Linked DNA regions of Coturnix japonica. The protein of the gene in region 1 interacts with the protein of each later gene in a pairwise test. Links are inferred from orthologs where the notes say so. Each region holds a gene or a part of one and is shown on either strand. Other genes may lie near its edges.

The links. The genes of interacting proteins can lie anywhere in the genome.
Region 2: the proteins of RTN4 (region 1) and CERT1 interact in binary tests that used the Homo sapiens proteins (3 or more experiments, as listed by UniProt). The link is inferred for Coturnix japonica from reciprocal best matches to the Homo sapiens genes RTN4 and CERT1.
Region 3: the proteins of RTN4 (region 1) and SPG21 interact in a two-hybrid assay, tested with the Homo sapiens proteins (2 studies listed by BioGRID and IntAct). The two-hybrid records come from large-scale screens. The link is inferred for Coturnix japonica from reciprocal best matches to the Homo sapiens genes RTN4 and SPG21.
Region 4: the proteins of RTN4 (region 1) and SYT16 interact in binary tests that used the Homo sapiens proteins (3 or more experiments, as listed by UniProt). The link is inferred for Coturnix japonica from reciprocal best matches to the Homo sapiens genes RTN4 and SYT16.

Annotation. Positions count from the first base shown.
Region 1 is NC_029518.1:5,127,942-5,132,426, forward strand, and holds part of RTN4 (reticulon-4), read right to left. Parts: coding exon 3,538-4,485; intron 1-3,537. UniProt on the Homo sapiens protein: Required to induce the formation and stabilization of endoplasmic reticulum (ER) tubules. They regulate membrane morphogenesis in the ER by promoting tubular ER production.
Region 2 is NC_029547.1:21,923,071-21,926,977, forward strand, and holds part of CERT1 (ceramide transfer protein), read left to right. Parts: intron 1-321; coding exon 322-392; intron 393-1,670; coding exon 1,671-1,799; intron 1,800-2,258; coding exon 2,259-2,388; intron 2,389-3,637; coding exon 3,638-3,765; 3' UTR 3,766-3,774; intron 3,775-3,907. UniProt on the Homo sapiens protein: Shelters ceramides and diacylglycerol lipids inside its START domain and mediates the intracellular trafficking of ceramides and diacylglycerol lipids in a non-vesicular manner.
Region 3 is NC_029525.1:16,062,232-16,065,804, reverse strand, and holds part of SPG21 (maspardin), read left to right. Parts: intron 1-1,321; coding exon 1,322-1,483; intron 1,484-1,592; coding exon 1,593-1,673; intron 1,674-2,268; coding exon 2,269-2,414; intron 2,415-2,918; coding exon 2,919-3,027; intron 3,028-3,511; coding exon 3,512-3,573. UniProt on the Homo sapiens protein: May play a role as a negative regulatory factor in CD4-dependent T-cell activation.
Region 4 is NC_029520.1:48,966,058-48,970,542, reverse strand, and holds part of SYT16 (synaptotagmin-16), read left to right. Parts: intron 1-430; coding exon 431-744; 3' UTR 745-4,485. UniProt on the Homo sapiens protein: May be involved in the trafficking and exocytosis of secretory vesicles in non-neuronal tissues. Is Ca(2+)-independent.

The DNA.
Region 1 (4,485 bases):
GGATGACTGGAGGGTCACATCACTCCCATATACAAGAAAGGGAGCAAGGAGGACCTAGGGAACTACAGGCCAGTGAGACTCACCTCTGTGCCTGGGAAGATCATGGAACAGATCCTCCTGAATGACACGCTTGATCACATGAGGAATGAGCGTGTGATCCAAGACTGCCAGCACAGCTTCACCAGAAGGTCATGCTTAACCAATCTTGTGGCCTTCTATGATGGAGTGACAGCATTGGTGGACAAGGGGAAGGCAACCAATGTCATTTACCTGGACTTGAGCAAGGCCTTTGATATGGTGCCCCACAACATCCTTATCACTCCATTGTAGGGATGTGGATTTGATGGGTGTCCCACTCAATGGATAAGAAATTGGCTGAAAGGCCGCAGAGAGAGGGTGGTGATTAATGGTTCTGTGTCCAGGAGGAGGCCGGTAACAAGCAGTGCCCCCCAGGGGTCTGTCTTGGGACTGGTGCTCTTTAACATCTTTATCAATTACATCAACAAACAGAATTGAGCGCACCCTCAACAAGTTTGCTGATGACACTGAGCTGAGTGGTGCAGTTGACACAGTGGAAAGAAGAGATGCCATTTAGAGGGACCTCAACAGACTTAAAATATAGGACCAGGTGAACCTGAGGTTCAACAGAGCAAAGTGCAAGGTTTTGCACTTTGGGCTGGAGGAATCCCAGACGTCTATACAGACTAGAAGGAGTAGTCACTGAAAGCAGCCCTGAAGAGAAGGACCTGGGGGCCCTGATGGATAAGAAACTTAACATGAGACAGCAGTGTGCTCCTGCAGCTCAGAAAGCAAACGGTACCCCGGACTCCATCAGGAGAGAGGTGGCCAGCAGGGACAGGGAGGTGATTGTCCCTCTCTGCTCTTGTGAGGCCCCATCTGGAGTACTGTGTCCAGGTATGGAGCCCCCAGTACAAGACAGAGAGCTGCTGGAAAGGGTCCAGAGGTGAGCCATGAAGATGATCAGGGGGCTGGAGTACCTCCCCTACCAATGATAGGCTGAGGGAGCTGGGCTTGTTCAGCATGGAGAAAAGGCTGTGGGGTGACCTAACTGCAGCCTTCCAGTACCTGAAGGGAGCCTATAACCAGGAGGGGAGTAAACTCTTTTTCTGTAAGAGTGGATAACAGCAAGACAAGGGGAAATGGTTTTAAGTTGAAGGAGGGAAGTTCTTTACCATGAGAGTGGTGAGGTCCTGAAACAAGCTGCCCAGAGAGGCTGTGGATGCCCTGTTCCTGGAGGTGTTCAAGGCCAGGTTGGATGGGGCCCTGGACAACCTGGTCTAGTAAATGGGAAGGCTGGTGGCCCTGCCTGGCAGGGGGGTTGGAGATTCACGATCCTTCAGGTCCGTTCCAACCTGGGCCATGCTGTGAAAAACCTCCACCTGCCAAAATAAGCTCATATCAAGATGGCTTTCTGCTATATTCGTGAGAACTAATGATCTCTATCAACAAGTAAAGAAAATACTGTTAAGTGAAGCAAGTCTGTACAACAAAAGGAGTAAGATACGTAACACATTTATCTTCTGACTCTAGAAACATTAAGTCAAAACTTCCCAAATATCATCCTTTGAAAGCCTAGTTTCACTTGAGTCAGTGCTCATTCACGAACACTAGATGGCATCCAAATCCTATTTTATAAGTAGGCTGTAAAGCAACCCCCTAACAGTCACTGCTGGCTGCCCACACCCAGTGGCTGGAGCCATGCCTTCTGTGCCACAGTGCAGCATCACAACAAAATCCATGCTGAAGTCAACCTTCATACACAGTAGTTTTATGGATGTCAGAAATGGGTTTTAAAGTCCGGCTGGCATGAGAGCAAAGCAACAGGGTTATCTGCTAGGAAGCCAAGTACAGCACATACTGAGAAAGGGATGGGAAAAAAGGAGCACATACTGAGAAGGGGACAGGAAGCCAAGTACAGAATATACTGAGAAAGGGATGGGGAAAAAAGGAACGCCTGGCACAATCTCCAAAGATGACATGCAAATGTTTAACAGCAGCAGCTGCTGGTGTTGCAAGGTAAAAAGAAGTGATCTGTTAAAACTGCTTTAAGTAGGAACTACTTACATGAGGATGGGTTTCTCCATAGTTAAACCCAAACCAATTCAGAACTTACTTTTGTTTGTTTCCACATCTGTGCCACAGTGAAGGACAAGGCCCCTGTGGTCTGACACCCTCATAGAACATGCTAGGCTACATGAAGGTCAGCCATACAGCTTTAAAGCCGGATCTGCCAGTGAGGTTGCTCAAAGCTCTGTTGGCTTTATTGGAGTCATGGAGTGTATTTAATAACTAAATAAATCTGCAACCACTTCTTACCATCTGCCTGCAGCGTCCTGGGGCTGTCAGGAGGTACATTTTCAGGCACACAGAGGTATGCTTGCATTTGAGTTGGCTTACAACAAGCAGCGCCAATGAGTAAGTATTCGAGGACAGCACAAAAAAGCAAGGCTCAGAAGAACACACAGCACAGATCACAGATCCAGGCCCTGTGATTAATTATCTGCCCTTTCTCAGAGTGAAAGGCAACTGTTAGTTCTTTGTTTCATTATTCTGACTGCTAATTGGAAGAAGTTTGGTAATAAAAGCAGACAATTGATTTTATTAATGGATTTGTGTCTTGTTAGAATCTTCAGGCATGTCACAGAAGTACAACTCTGTTCAGCAGCAGAGTACCACAGCATCAAAACAGCAAAGTACTTCTCCAGTCTACGGGAAGCTGGAACTCCATAACGCATATGGTTTAGAATTAATGCCAGGGGAAACCTTCTTTTAACTCTCTTCTACTTTAAATAGCACATTACTGGATGAAAAACAACAATACCACAACCAAACACTGAAATGGAAGTTCCATTTGAAAATTATCTGTGCTGTGTGCAAACCGATCTTAACGGTTGCAGGAACACTCACTTTCTTAATGGTCACTTTTCCTACTAAACTGAGCACTTAGCTCCCTTGTGCACTATTTATTTCTGGCAGGGACCTACTACAGGCTGTAAATCACATGAGTGGAGCTGTGCATGTTCTTTTCCAGGCATAAGCTGTATGTACCACAGCAGAAAGGACGTTTTCCCAAGCTTTGAAGTCTGTTGTTTAACTGAATTCTGCATGAAAAGAAAAAATGCCTCTTGTGCACATGGAGTAGACTGAGATACCATCCCTGGTTTACTATTGTGTACAGCAAGTCCGGAAGGCCTCTAATGCTCAGCCTGTAGACAAGCACAGAAAAGCTTACAGTGAGTAGTGACTTATCTGCACACCAACAGATCACCAGCAGGAGAACCGAAGAAAACTGAAGACAGTGAGACCACTCCTGATAAACATGATAAAAAAAAGGGACTGAAGCAGTCAAAATATGAAAAGGTGAGAGCACAGGCTCTAACATTAGTTTGTTACCCTCTGCTTAAACAGGGTAGTTTACAGAAAGTAACTTAAAAAAAAAGAGTAAGTCGTAGCATGTTTAAGTGTAGCTAAAGGTTATGGAGATTAGTGAACTGCAAGACAGTGAACACAGATTACCTGAAGATATATTCAGCTTTGCTGAAAAGACTGCAGTAGGTTTTTCCTTTTCTTTAGCAGAAGCAGCTCCTCTCTCAGCTTCCTTCTGAAAAGCTTCTGGCTTTCCTACACTGACTGTTTCTTCTTCAGTAGGTAAAGGTGAGGTATCTGTGGCTGGTAAGGACACCATGGACACTTCAGGCACTTCTCTGTCCACAGCCTGCAAGGACTTTTTCAAGGCATGAGCATCTTCATCAGTTTTCATTTCTACATTCTTTACAGACAGATCACAGGGCAGCTCTGGGCAAGGCAACCGCCTCTTCTCATCTCTGATCTCATTACTGGTCTCTTCGCTTTCATTTTTGTGCACTGTTTCTTTATCAGTGACTTCAGCCACAAACTCGGGACCAGTTTTAGGATCAACTAGCATCACAAAGTCGTCTTCTGAGACAGGAGAAGATTCAATAGGTGAGAGACCTTTGCCATCACCTGGTTTTGGTTCCGTAGCAATAGATACATCAGTTGAATAAGCCAGAGTGTTCAGTTCTTCCATCTGAAGTGGAATCTTCTCTGCCTTGGCTATCTTTGCAGGTGTGGGCTCAGATGGCTGAGTGCTAACAATTTTGGAAGAGTCTAGTTCAGCTTGGAAAGACTCCAAATAGGGCTTACCAGTAGCAGCCCATGAATCTACCAGCCGTTCCTGCTCCTCGTCAGTTTCAATATTCTCAACTGATTCACTATTTAAGACGAGGGTCTGATCTTCACTTTCATTCCCAGGGACATCAGGTATCACATGGCGATTAAACAAGTCAGATTTTCCAAACTGCGGAGACAGTTTCTCAACCAGCTCCTTGTGTTCAGACACATCCTTTGAAATGTCTTCTGCTGTTGGAGTTGCGGAATAATCTGTTAAGGATGGAGAAGCAGATTCACCAGAGACCTTTGTTTCCTTAATTAAGTCACATGCAA
Region 2 (3,907 bases), on another chromosome or scaffold:
TCACAGGTTTTTCAGTAATAAAAATCTGAATAATCTTTTCAATTATTTTACTAAGCACTGGAGTGGGACTCAGAGGCCTCTGATTACCAGTCTTCCTTATTATCTTTATTTAAAATTGATTGGTACAACTTTTGCCTGCTTCCACTCAGCTTGTACCTCTCTAGATTCCAAAGTGCACTAAGAAATACTTGAGAGAAGTCTCACGATGATAACAGCCAGCTCTTTCAGTGCCATGGAATTAATCCCATCAGGCCCTGCTCAGATCCTGATTCAGACTTGCTTTTGTGCTTGTTTACTGATCTTTTTTTTCCTGCTTTTCAGCAACAATTGAAAACTTCCATGTTGTGGAAAATTTAGCTGATAATGCAATCATCATTTACCAGACGCATAAGGTAAGAATTACGTGTCACCTATGTACACACCCTACCAAAACAGCACTCTGACTTGTTTTGAAATACTTCAGTGGCATATATTTTGCCAAAACAAAAAATTTTGCTTAAAAAGCAAACTAGCTGAGAACAAGTTCTTTAAGGAACTGCAACGCTGTCAACTTTCTGAGCTTGGCTAGGTAGCATAATTGGTTGCGAATGTGTCTGCCACAGTATGTAACAAGAAATGAGAGCTGTTCATTATTATCTGTAATACTATCATTTCCAGCTAGGCAGTGGTTATCTAAAGCAAACTGAAGCAATAAGTCAACATTGACTACAAGCAAGAAACTCATACCACTTCATCATTTGTCTTTTTTCAGTAATGCAAGCTATTGTTAACTACAAATATTTAACAAAAGCATTAGCATTATGACATGGTACATGCTGGTTTAATATTTGGTATAATATTTTGTTTTCTGGTCACTCACCGCCCTGTGAGTGAAAATCTAACATAAATCTCCCCTGTCTTAGTTCAAAACCATTCCACCTTGTCCTATCACTGTCCAGCCATGTAAACTTAAATCTTGCATGATGGCAAGTACTGGCATACTCAGATACTTGAACAACTAGACGATTAACTTAGACAATTTTACCAGTGAGGGTATTACCTTAAAGATGCCATAACAAGAAGGCTTCAATATTCTGTTGAGTCAACTGTAGCGTTATGGTAAAAACAATATTTTTGCTTCTACTGAATATCAGGAAAATAGTTTCTGTATAGTTTCTTTTTTTTTTGGGGGGGTGGGGTGCTTGAAATTGTGAAATTAACTGTTGGAAACCATCAGTTTATCACTTCTGTCTTGCTGAAGTAGTAGCTCTTAAAAATACTAGTTAAAATATTTATTTCTTTATTCCCTCATGTGTATGGAGACCTACATGCATAGTCAGACTTTAGATGCATGTATTTATACTTAGCCACTAGTGCTGCCTACAAGCAAAAGTCATTGCAGATTGTTTTTGGGCCTTAAATTTTTGCCTTATTTCTTTTTTAATCAAGTGCAGCTGCATAACCTGATAGGCTACAATATAGGTACAAGAGTGAGACTGCTAAGAGTGCAGTTGTTCCCACTGCACTTTGGTTAATGAAGACCTTAAAGAGAACTAATTTCAACTATTTTTTTTACTTAGATAACATGTCTGACCTTGTTAACCTTAACTGCTTTGACCTTCTTATTTAAGAACAAAAAGTACTTAATTTGTAACATTTTGAAAAGCTTACAATGGGATATTTCTCTGCAGAGAGTGTGGCCAGCTTCTCAAAGGGACGTGCTGTATCTGTCTGCTATCAGAAAGATACCAGCATTCAGTGAAAATGACCCTGAAACGTGGATTGTGTGCAATTTCTCTGTGGAACATGACAGTGCTCCTGTAAGTGCTGCTTTTGCTCTATCTCTACTTTAAGAATTTTTCTATTCGGTTTTTCCTCGCAGTTTTTCTGTTACATGGTGATGGTGTTGCAGTACAAATGTGAAGTAGGCTGGGGGCTGAGGGAGGTATGCAAAATACAGGTTCTTTTTTAAATGCGTTGATACACTGGCCTGTGTGTTCCAAGACAAAAGCTTTTTTTGCCGTATTTCAAAAAGTGTTGCAGAAGAAGAAAAACAAAATATATGAAAACATTTTAAAGAGGTGCAATTTCATGCTGAATTACAGTGATAAATCTTTTGTTTGCATTCGTGGTATATCACAGTGCTGGAAAGCAAATTCTTCAAAAAACAAACTCTGGATTGTCTTAAACTTTATAGCAAATGAAAATGTTAGCAGTCAAGAAGGAGGAATTAAGTTTACTTTGAGGCTTACCAATGTTTCTTCATTTTTCTCTGGTAGCTGAACAATCGCTGTGTCCGTGCCAAAATAAATATCGCTATGATATGTCAGACATTAGTAAGTCCACCAGAGGGGAACAAAGAAATAAGCAGAGACAATATTCTATGCAAGATTACATATGTAGCTAATGGTGAGTATTCATCTTTTCTGTGTCTTTTTTCAGTGTGACCTTTGTGATATATGCTAATTCTGGTGAACTAAGTGCTAGCAAGAAAAAAAGTCAGTGCAGCTTTCTGTTAAACGTAGGACAATGTTTTTAATCTGTGTTCAAAAAGATTTGAATTAATGTGATATGTAGCATCATTGACGGTGGTCACTTATGGTGTAGCATCAGGGCAGGAGTAGAGTTTAGCTTAAGTACAGAAACTCAGGTGGAGGAGGTGAGGTAGATTATCTGCGTATTGGATGGCTTGGCTTATAGTTTCAATAATGTTGTGTTTTGCTGTCTTTTTTCCCCCTGATTCATCCAAGGCTAAAAAACTCAGTACTTAAGAAGGTACAAATACATTTTTTTTATGAGGATATTTGCAAGCTGCATAACTGAGTTACATATTTTTATCTTTTTTAACTGAAGGAATCCTTGGTGTAGACTGTAAATTTATTGAAGCCAAACTGTACCCAGTATTTAGCAGTGTGTTGCAGTACTGGCCCCACATACCTGTTAGATCATCTCCTGCTACAAAGCACTTTCAGATTAGCTCACCTGCCTATTATTTTTAACCAGCTATTATACAACTTACTAAAGAAGCCTGCAAAATGAGTTCAGTAAATATTTGCAATGTAGGAGTGATACAGCTTGTATTAAATCCTGTACAAATAATGTGATATAATTCTATCCTCTGGGGAAAGGTTGTTTGGTTTTTTTCCTATTCAGAAGTTTTCCAATTATTTGAAATATATACTTCCATGACAAATGCTGAACTCTCATTGTATGGTAAGTGGCAGCTTGTTCAGCAAAATTTAAACATATTTTGAAGTCCTTCAAAAATCATTTGTAAGAGGTTGAATGTGTAGCAGTTCTGCAGACAAATTCAGCAGTAACTGGAAAGGTAAGATTGATTTCTCTTCTATTTGAAATAAGGATTTGATTCTTTCCATTTGTTTTCTTGGAAGAATGTCACCTTCCATGTGGGTAGGACTTAAAAGATTGACATGGCCTTATTTTATTGTTTTCTAAATAATGGCATTGTAGACCTGGAGTGAATGTGAATATTAAGAGCTGTAAACAGTACAGTACGGGCTGTAACGGCCTAAAAGAAGTTCTGATTATTCATTGTTGTTTCTTTGGAGGAAGTTGCAGGAATACAGACTTACATTCTTGTATGCAGCTTTTAGAGGATGTTCTGTGTTTCAGTGCCTTTCTTCCTGTTTTCTTCTAGTCAACCCAGGAGGGTGGGCACCAGCATCTGTGTTACGGGCAGTGGCAAAACGAGAATATCCCAAATTCCTGAAGCGTTTTACGTCATACGTGCAAGAGAAAACAGCTGGAAAACCTATTTTATTCTAGTATTAGCAGGTACAGGCTCATTTTTGATTTCTTAATTCATTGCTGTAAATGTTTAAGGCCAAACAGAAGCATGCAATCTAGAAATGTTTCATCATAATTAGCATCAATACAACATTCAGTATTAATACATGTACGCAATATT
Region 3 (3,573 bases), on another chromosome or scaffold:
TCCTTAAGATTCTGCTGTAGCCATTGACAGCTACCTTGAATGTCTCCAAAGTTACTGTAGAATAACAGCTGAGAGCTGTAATTTCTGGAGATGATGTGAAGGGTTGATTTTTGGGAGGCTTTAGGAGGGCTTTTGTGCAGGGTGCTGGGGGGGTTTTTGTGTGTATGTGTTTTCTTAGTGGCTTCAGTGGTCTGGGAAGCCCTGCTATGTAATCTGTCTTTCTTTGTTTCTCTTGGAGATCTCACAAAACAGCAGTATCATGTGATTCCTCACATGTTCCCAGAGCTTGAAATACCGGCTTTATTACAAGCAGATTTGTTAATCAAGCAAAAATGATACACTGTTCTCTAACTCCCTGAGCAGCTTAATTGCTGTGATGGGAAAGTGAATTATGCTTCTATGCTGCTATTCAAAAAATTACAGAATCTTGACACGTGGATGAACTCCTGCTGTGCGATGCAGCTTTCCTTAGATTTGTGACTGTTGATCTGGAATGAGCTGCATGCTTTTTGCTGGGGTGATGAGGGTTGAAACCAGCATGCTAAATACACACAACAGCTTGTTGGTAGGTCAGGCCCTGTAAAAGCGAGCCAGGCTTCAGCAAGGCTGGAGCAGACAATCGTTACCTAATTCCTATACTTCTGAATATACTATTTCTGCTGTGACTTCTTGCTTCTGGCATGTTACGTGCCCTCTGTGAGCAGCTTGTGGTGGATAATCTGCTTCATCCAGCTGTGTCGTAGGGACTCCAGGCTCTCCTGACATGTGCTTATTTCTTTCCAGGTCAGCTGTGCAGTGCTGCTCTGGGAGTTGAGTACATCCCTAGCAATCAGGTGTAACTGCTTTAAATCAATAATTTGCAGTTAGCAGCATAATTCAATAGACTCACACACATCCAGACCTGTAACATCTTTTGTCCAGTAAATAGGAGTTAGTTAAAAATCAGACCCTGGGGCAATGCAGGCTCTTCCAGCCTAAGGCTGCTGTTCTGGGTACTGTGAGCTGGCCCCATGGTTCTCTTTTGGGCCGTGGCACAGTGGCTCCAAGCATATTTCTCCTCATGTGGAACTGTATAAATGGGTCTGACAGTGCCCGGTTGTAGTTCTGTCTCCAGCTCCATCCTTGGAAACATCATTGCTTAGTAAACAGCCTTAGAGAAGAAAGTTGTTGTGAGAAATAAAAGCTGGTCTTATTCAATAGTTTTGGATACCGTAATATTTACTGAATGACAAATATTTTGTAGTAGCAATCCTGGAACATGCTTGAAGAAGCTCATTTCAGTCCTGTGTTTCTCACCCCTTCTCTTCTCCTCTTCTTCCAGATAATAGTAGATGATGATGACAGTAAAGTCTGGTCGCTGTACGATGCAGGACCCAGGAGCATTCGGTGCCCGCTCATATTTCTTCCTCCTGTAAGTGGAACTGCAGATGTGTTTTTCCAGCAAATTTTGGCACTGACTGGATGGGGTTACAGAGTTATTGCTGTGAGTATCATCTAGAAACCTTGAATGTGAGAATCAGTGTAACTTTGTAGCAGGAGGTTGACGTCTGATGATTAGAGACTGGCTTTTTGTGTCTTGTATATTGTTTCAGTTGCAGTACCCGGTGTACTGGGATCACCTTGAGTTCTGTGATGGATTCAGAAAACTGTTAGACCACCTTCAGCTGGATAAAGTGAGTGCCCAGAGATGGATATATAGCTGCCATAAAAACCTGATGCTTGAAGGCCTCATTTAAGAGCAAATGTGAAGTTCACAATGCAAAACCAGCCTATAAAGAGGCTGTGTTCTTTTGAAACTAGTTTATTTTTGAAAGGAAATTCCCTTGAAAATCTGACTGAATTCTCTGCTGTTGGAGGCTTATTACATTGGGTTGCTAACTGCATTTTTCTTTCTTGCTGAGATCCTGCTGAAGTTATCCTTCATAACTCACATTGTACAGAATATCACCATAAAGTACCTTGGATTGGAAAAAACATTGAATATAAAGTGAAATGATTACATTTTACTTAAGCACGATGAGCACACAGAAATTAGAAGCGTGATCAGGAAACGCTTCCTTTTTTTGGTATTTATCTCTTCTTGTAAATCAAAGAACCTACATTGAAGGCCTTTTTGTTCTGGTTTTGTTTTGTTTTGTTTTTCCAATTAAAAATGAGCTATAAGGACAAGGTAAAACTTGAAGGACTTTTTGTAACGTGGCCCTTAAGGGTCACTTAGTTCTCAAATGTAACATGACCTGTTTGTTTTGGTTTTCCTTTTTGAATTAGGTTCACCTTTTTGGAGCTTCTCTAGGAGGCTTCCTGGCTCAGAAATTTGCTGAATACACACACAAATCTCCCCGAGTTCAATCTCTGATTCTATGTAATGCCTTTAGCGACACTTCCATCTTCAATCAGACATGGACAGCAAACAGGTAAGGAAGACCGAGACAAGCAATGAGACTGGTGGCATTAATGTGTTTTCTGATGAAATTCCACACTGATCTGGTTCAACATGTGTTTAACTTGTTTTCAGCCTGCGTGCCTAATGGTGAGGGCTGGAATACATGTGACTTTTAAAACCATACTATAAAGGAAACAGAAGTTCTCACAATTGGGAGTGTGGAATTTGACAGACTCCTCCTGTATTTATTTCCTGTGATCATTTAAGGACGTGGTCAGACTTCAGAATTCTACTTGATTTCCAGCAAAACTTTTTAGAGTGAGGAAAGTGTTATTCACAATGTTTTTAATACACCCTTGCAATGCAGCAGCTTTCCAGAGCATTTCAGTCACATATCTGCAAGTTTTTCCATCTCTGCTCTTGAAGCATCTTCACGATTTCATTTGAAATTCTTGCACAAAAGTCAGTGCAAGAAAAGGGAAGACTTAAAAGAAAGCATCTTAATTCTGATTGTTACGTCTTGTTTCTGTTTTAGCTTTTGGTTAATGCCTGCTTTTATGCTGAAAAAAATTGTCCTTGGCAATTTTGCATCTGGTCCTGTAGACCCTGAAATGGCCGATGGGATTGATTTCATGGTGGACAGGGTAAGTGGCTGTGTGCTCCAATGGCTGTAATGTCAATCTTTGTGAGATATTCACTTAGTAGATGGGAGGTTGTAGATATTTCTGCTGCTTTCTTCATTTACTTACCCAGAAGTGAACAGTGGATGGATTCTCAGCAGGTGTTGGCTGCAACAGCTCTTGCAATTTAACTGGTGCTGTGATTTGTCTACCTTATTGTTCCATTTATCTATGTATATTGGAAGAGAGGTGGCTAAGAAAGAGATGGAAATGGGAATAAGTGCTGAGATAGTAGGCTATGCTCTAGAGGCAGGAACAATTAATTAAACGTTCTAAGTATTTGTCTCATGCAGCGAAATATTAAGATGGAACTATGATCTTCATCTGAAGTGCAGTCATGTTTCCCTTTAAAACTAAAGAGCTGTCTTCTCTTTGGCTCTGCTGTTATTATTGCATTAACTTCCTGCAGTGAAATATGTTATTAATCACAATTTGTCTCTACTGAAAGCTGGAGAGTCTGGGCCAGAGTGAGCTTGCCTCGAGACTTACCCTCAATTGCCAGAACTCTTA
Region 4 (4,485 bases), on another chromosome or scaffold:
GAGATCAAATCATTTCACCCCCTCTTTTTTTGCGACCAAACCTTTGTTGTGAGGGGTGAGGGAGAGGAATGAAAGGTGCTGACACGCTGTTTGACATGGAGAATCCAGGGAGATGCTCATGGATTCAGTTAGCCTTAGGTTTCCTGAATTTGAGAAGCAGTTCTTTTGCTGTTTTTATTTCCAAGAGTATAGGTCTGAATCACATATTTGCTTCCTTCCATTCTTCTCCCCAGCTGGACATGAGGAAGTCCAAGGGTTGCTCTCATCTACTGCTCTTCATCCCTTGAATGAAGGAGATAGGTCCAACCCTCACCTTATATGCAGTGCAGACAAAGCTGCTTGGAGTTTTTGGAGTGATTTCTGACTACTTGGGGCTTCCATTTAATCTGTTAACTCTGCCAAACATTTTATTTTCTGTGTTTTGTCCTAGATACCTATGGAAAGCTTTGCCTGCTCAACTCTGTGGGCCAGGAGATGTCTCGCTGCAAGACCTCCATCCGTCGAGGGCAGCCCAACCCCGTCTACAAAGAAACTTTCATCTTCCAGGTTGCCCTCTTCCAGCTCTCCGATGTCACACTAATGATCTCCATATACAACAAACGCAGCATGAAACGCAAAGAGATGATCGGCTGGATCTCCATGGGGCAGAACAGCAGTGGAGAAGAAGAGCAAAGTCATTGGCAGGAGATGAAAGAGTCAAAGGGGCTGCAGGTCTGCAGGTGGCACACATTGCTGGAGTCCTAATGGTAACCAGGGCAGCCTGTAGATCCTGGGACTGTGGGTTGTCTTCCCTCATTCTCAGTCAGCAGGAAGCAGCTGTCCCATGGCAAGCACTGTGCTCTGACAGGTCATGTACTCTTTAACCTGACTTTTCAGTATCATCTGTCAAGCATTAGAAGTGACAAGGCCTGGGAAGCAAGTTTAGTTTTTATCTTTCCAGGTTGCCCTGCATTTTCTACATCCAAATTAGTAACCTTAGGAAAAGCAAGGGCAAACCTACAAGATCCTCCCTTTCTTGCTCATTTTATCATATGTCTAATCATCACAGTTTGATTTTGATGCTGTTTTCTTCTGGAGTAAATTCTCTGATCCTTTCCTTATTTATATTAATGAAGTCTGCAAACATTCTTGACACGCAGATAGCTCACAGATAGGCTAAACTGCATGCAGATCACATTTTCCTCTCTTTTATTATCTTATTTTTTAAGTCCTAGAAATGAACATTTGGTAGCACTATAGACTGGATTTTTCAGGCAGCATGGGAAAGCACTGTTGAATACTCTGTCAACTTTAAAGTGCCTAGGCGTTATTACTGTTTCTGATACTAACTGATAGTGTTTATTTGGACTTAATACTGCCAGTATTCTTAATTAGCATCCCGTGCACTTGTTAGCCTGTATTGCCACAGAGATTGCATGAGGGATAACTAATAGCGGTTTTATATTGTGATTATACAATGCATGTTTGGATGCTTACTTGAAGTTCAAGGCTTCTGTCATCATGAATACCAAAAAAAACAAAGACCAGAACAAGCTGCACGTCCACCTTTGTGCCTGAATCACTCTTTTCTGCATCACTGTTTTGATTATGTGTTATTTTGTTCACTTGTAAAAGTGAGTTTCATTCAGAAAAGCATTTCTGTGAGCATTATACAGAAAAGCTTTTGATCCACGATTTCACTGTTGTTCAGTTAAGCACAGCTCAAGTTTGCTGAGGGCTCTTGTCCAAATGGGCTATCTGTAGTATGTTTGGGATCTGGAAAGAGAACCATTTTTGGCATGTTGAGCAGTAAAGAATGCCAGACCAAGTCACCTCATCTTTGGGACAGTCTCTCCTACAAGAGCAGGTAAAATAGGATCCAGGGGACCCATGCCTAGAGGGGCAGCTTTCAGGGAGCAGGATCCCTGGATGAAGCGATGGCACTTCAAGGTAGTTACTTTTCAGACCATTTTGTTATTTTCCATTTTCATCATTTTTTTCCCATTTCCATCAGTTAAACTTGTAGAGTCAGTGGCAAGGGAAGAAGTCTTCATTTGCTTGATTTCTGAACATTGAGCTCTCATTAGCTGCTGGAAAACTGCATGTGACGCAGCTGAGGACGTGGATTCTCTAGGGCAGTGATGGTATGTAGACAGAAAGGTGCCAAGATACTCACATACCATCAGCTACCTAAATTTAATTCCTGGAGCTCCTTAGGAGAGGATTGGCATTTCTTCATCCCTTCTGATGATAGGAAGGAAATATTATGCTGGAAAGGTTCGGGTTTTTTTGTTCTGAATCACCTCGTGTTTTGTTTTTGTCGTTTACTAGTCTGGCACCAAATTCCATCTCTTGCACCACAGCTGTTTCCTTCCATTCAATGGTGCTGTGCAAGTTTCAGCATTGGCTGTTAAACCAAAATTGAGTCTGGGTGCTGGTTTGCATCACACTCAGGCTAGTGATCACCCACTGGGCAGTGGTGTGGTAGATACAGGTTATCAGTTGGTGTAATACACACAGGCTTTGTCTGTCCTCACATGGCAGCCCACCAAGTGAGGATAATCTCACAGAAGAAGATTTCTGGTGTGGGTGAGACAGACCCTACAGATCGTATGTTCTTGTATGTTCTTTACACTTACCTGCCTGGGCATCATTTTCCAGTGGGACTGGTGGCTGTCCTATGCAGGAGGATTGTCCTCCACTGCCTAGATAAGCTGGCACAATATCTGCTTTGCACTACTGGGGCTTTGTATTTCAAATCAGGATCTAACTCAAAAACAACTGCATTTTTGACTGCACTGTTAATTCTGCTGCGTTGCCAATAGGAGAGAGAACAAGCATCTGAGTGGTAATAAGCAAACCAGTCTAAATGTGGCTTTTTGCTTTCTTAATCATATATTTTTCTTCTGGAAGAAGTACAGAAAACAGACCAAATCAAAAGGTGCATTTGCTGATTTCAGTCGTTTTCCAATCTCTGCATAATTTTTCTGAACTGCATGAAAATGTATATACAAGTGTTTATAAGTAATTTTATTATCTGAGATGTGTATAATAAACTTATGCAGATTCTCTTAGTATCTTCTTGAACCTGTAAAGTGTTGCTTTATGCTTAATTTAATGATTAGCTAAGGGAATGGTATCAATTGGTAGTATGCTTCACAAGTGAACCGGGGATAACCCTGATTTATAATTGTGTGATTAAAAAGAATTATTGGAAAGGTTAGCTTTAAAAAGCAACAAGGTGAGCTCATTTGGGACATACGTGCTGTTTTCATACCTAGATCTTTTCTGAAGATGCAGCACAAACTGACATCAGCATCCATAGAGTCTGTTGATATCTGAGCATGTGTTAAAACTTCGCTCTCAGATGGAAGCAGCTTCCCGCATCATTGCAATAACGTTTTGGCCTGATGTTTTACAAGAAAATAATGGTGGGAAGGAGAAAGGGATGAGGTGGGGGGAGCACTGTTTGGAGCTGCTTCCAGATCTGTTGGCACATCCGTGCCTTGAGCAGAACATGAGCAAAGTTCATTAAATTCCTACCGAAGCACGGAGGAATTGATGACTCTTGGGCTGAGTGGTGTTGGGGGTGCTCATGTTTGCTAGCTGTATTTCAGGACTTTGGTTAGTTTTCTGGTTTGTTTTTCTTTAGAGTATTGACTGTCTGTGAAATGAAGAAGGCTTAGCTGCAGCTCCCCTTTATTTCAGAGCTCCTGTAATTCTTTTCATAGACAGATTGAATTAGTTATTGTTAACATTGGTACAGGCTGGCCTTGTGCTCCTGGTCTTTCACATGTAAACACCACTGCCCTTTCAGTCACTGCTATAACCCCTCGTTTCCTTTAGAAGTGGCTGAGAAATCAGAATTTCCAGGCATGCTTCCATTCCTTTGGAATCCTGCCTCACACTTGGCTCTCCATAGGTGATAGTCACTGGAGCTGGGCCCTGTTCCCCTCTGGCTTCCATCCCCATGTGCACTGTGCTGGGTCCCTGCTCCTGTGGGGGCTCCAGAAGAGGAGGAGGGCCATGGGGTGAGCAGCTGACCTGCTTCTGGGAATGCTTGGGTGCTTGTATGGCCTGACTATGCAGTTATTGCTGTGTAGTGCAGAATAATGCACGTTTTCTAAGATAATTTATCTCCTTTGGCACCGCTGTCTGGAATCCCCAGAGATAATATTTGAATTTTCTTCTCTAGGAGGGAGAAAGAAAAAAGCTCCAAAGCCACAAAACCTTTGTGTGGGAAGGAACTAACTGCACTGGCTTAATCCCAGGATGCTGTGGGCAAAGTGCTCTGGATCCATCTCTATCTCGAGCAGCATCACTCAGCTAGCTGCAGTCTGTTCCTTCCTTGGTCTCTGTCCAGCAGCACATCCCTGTCCTGCTAGGCACTCTGCTGTTATTTTATTTCTTGTTTTTAATGTGTATTGACAACAGAACAGAATGATCTCACCACGTTTGTATTCTCTGCAGTAATGCCAACTTTCAACTGATGCCCACAGAACCGAG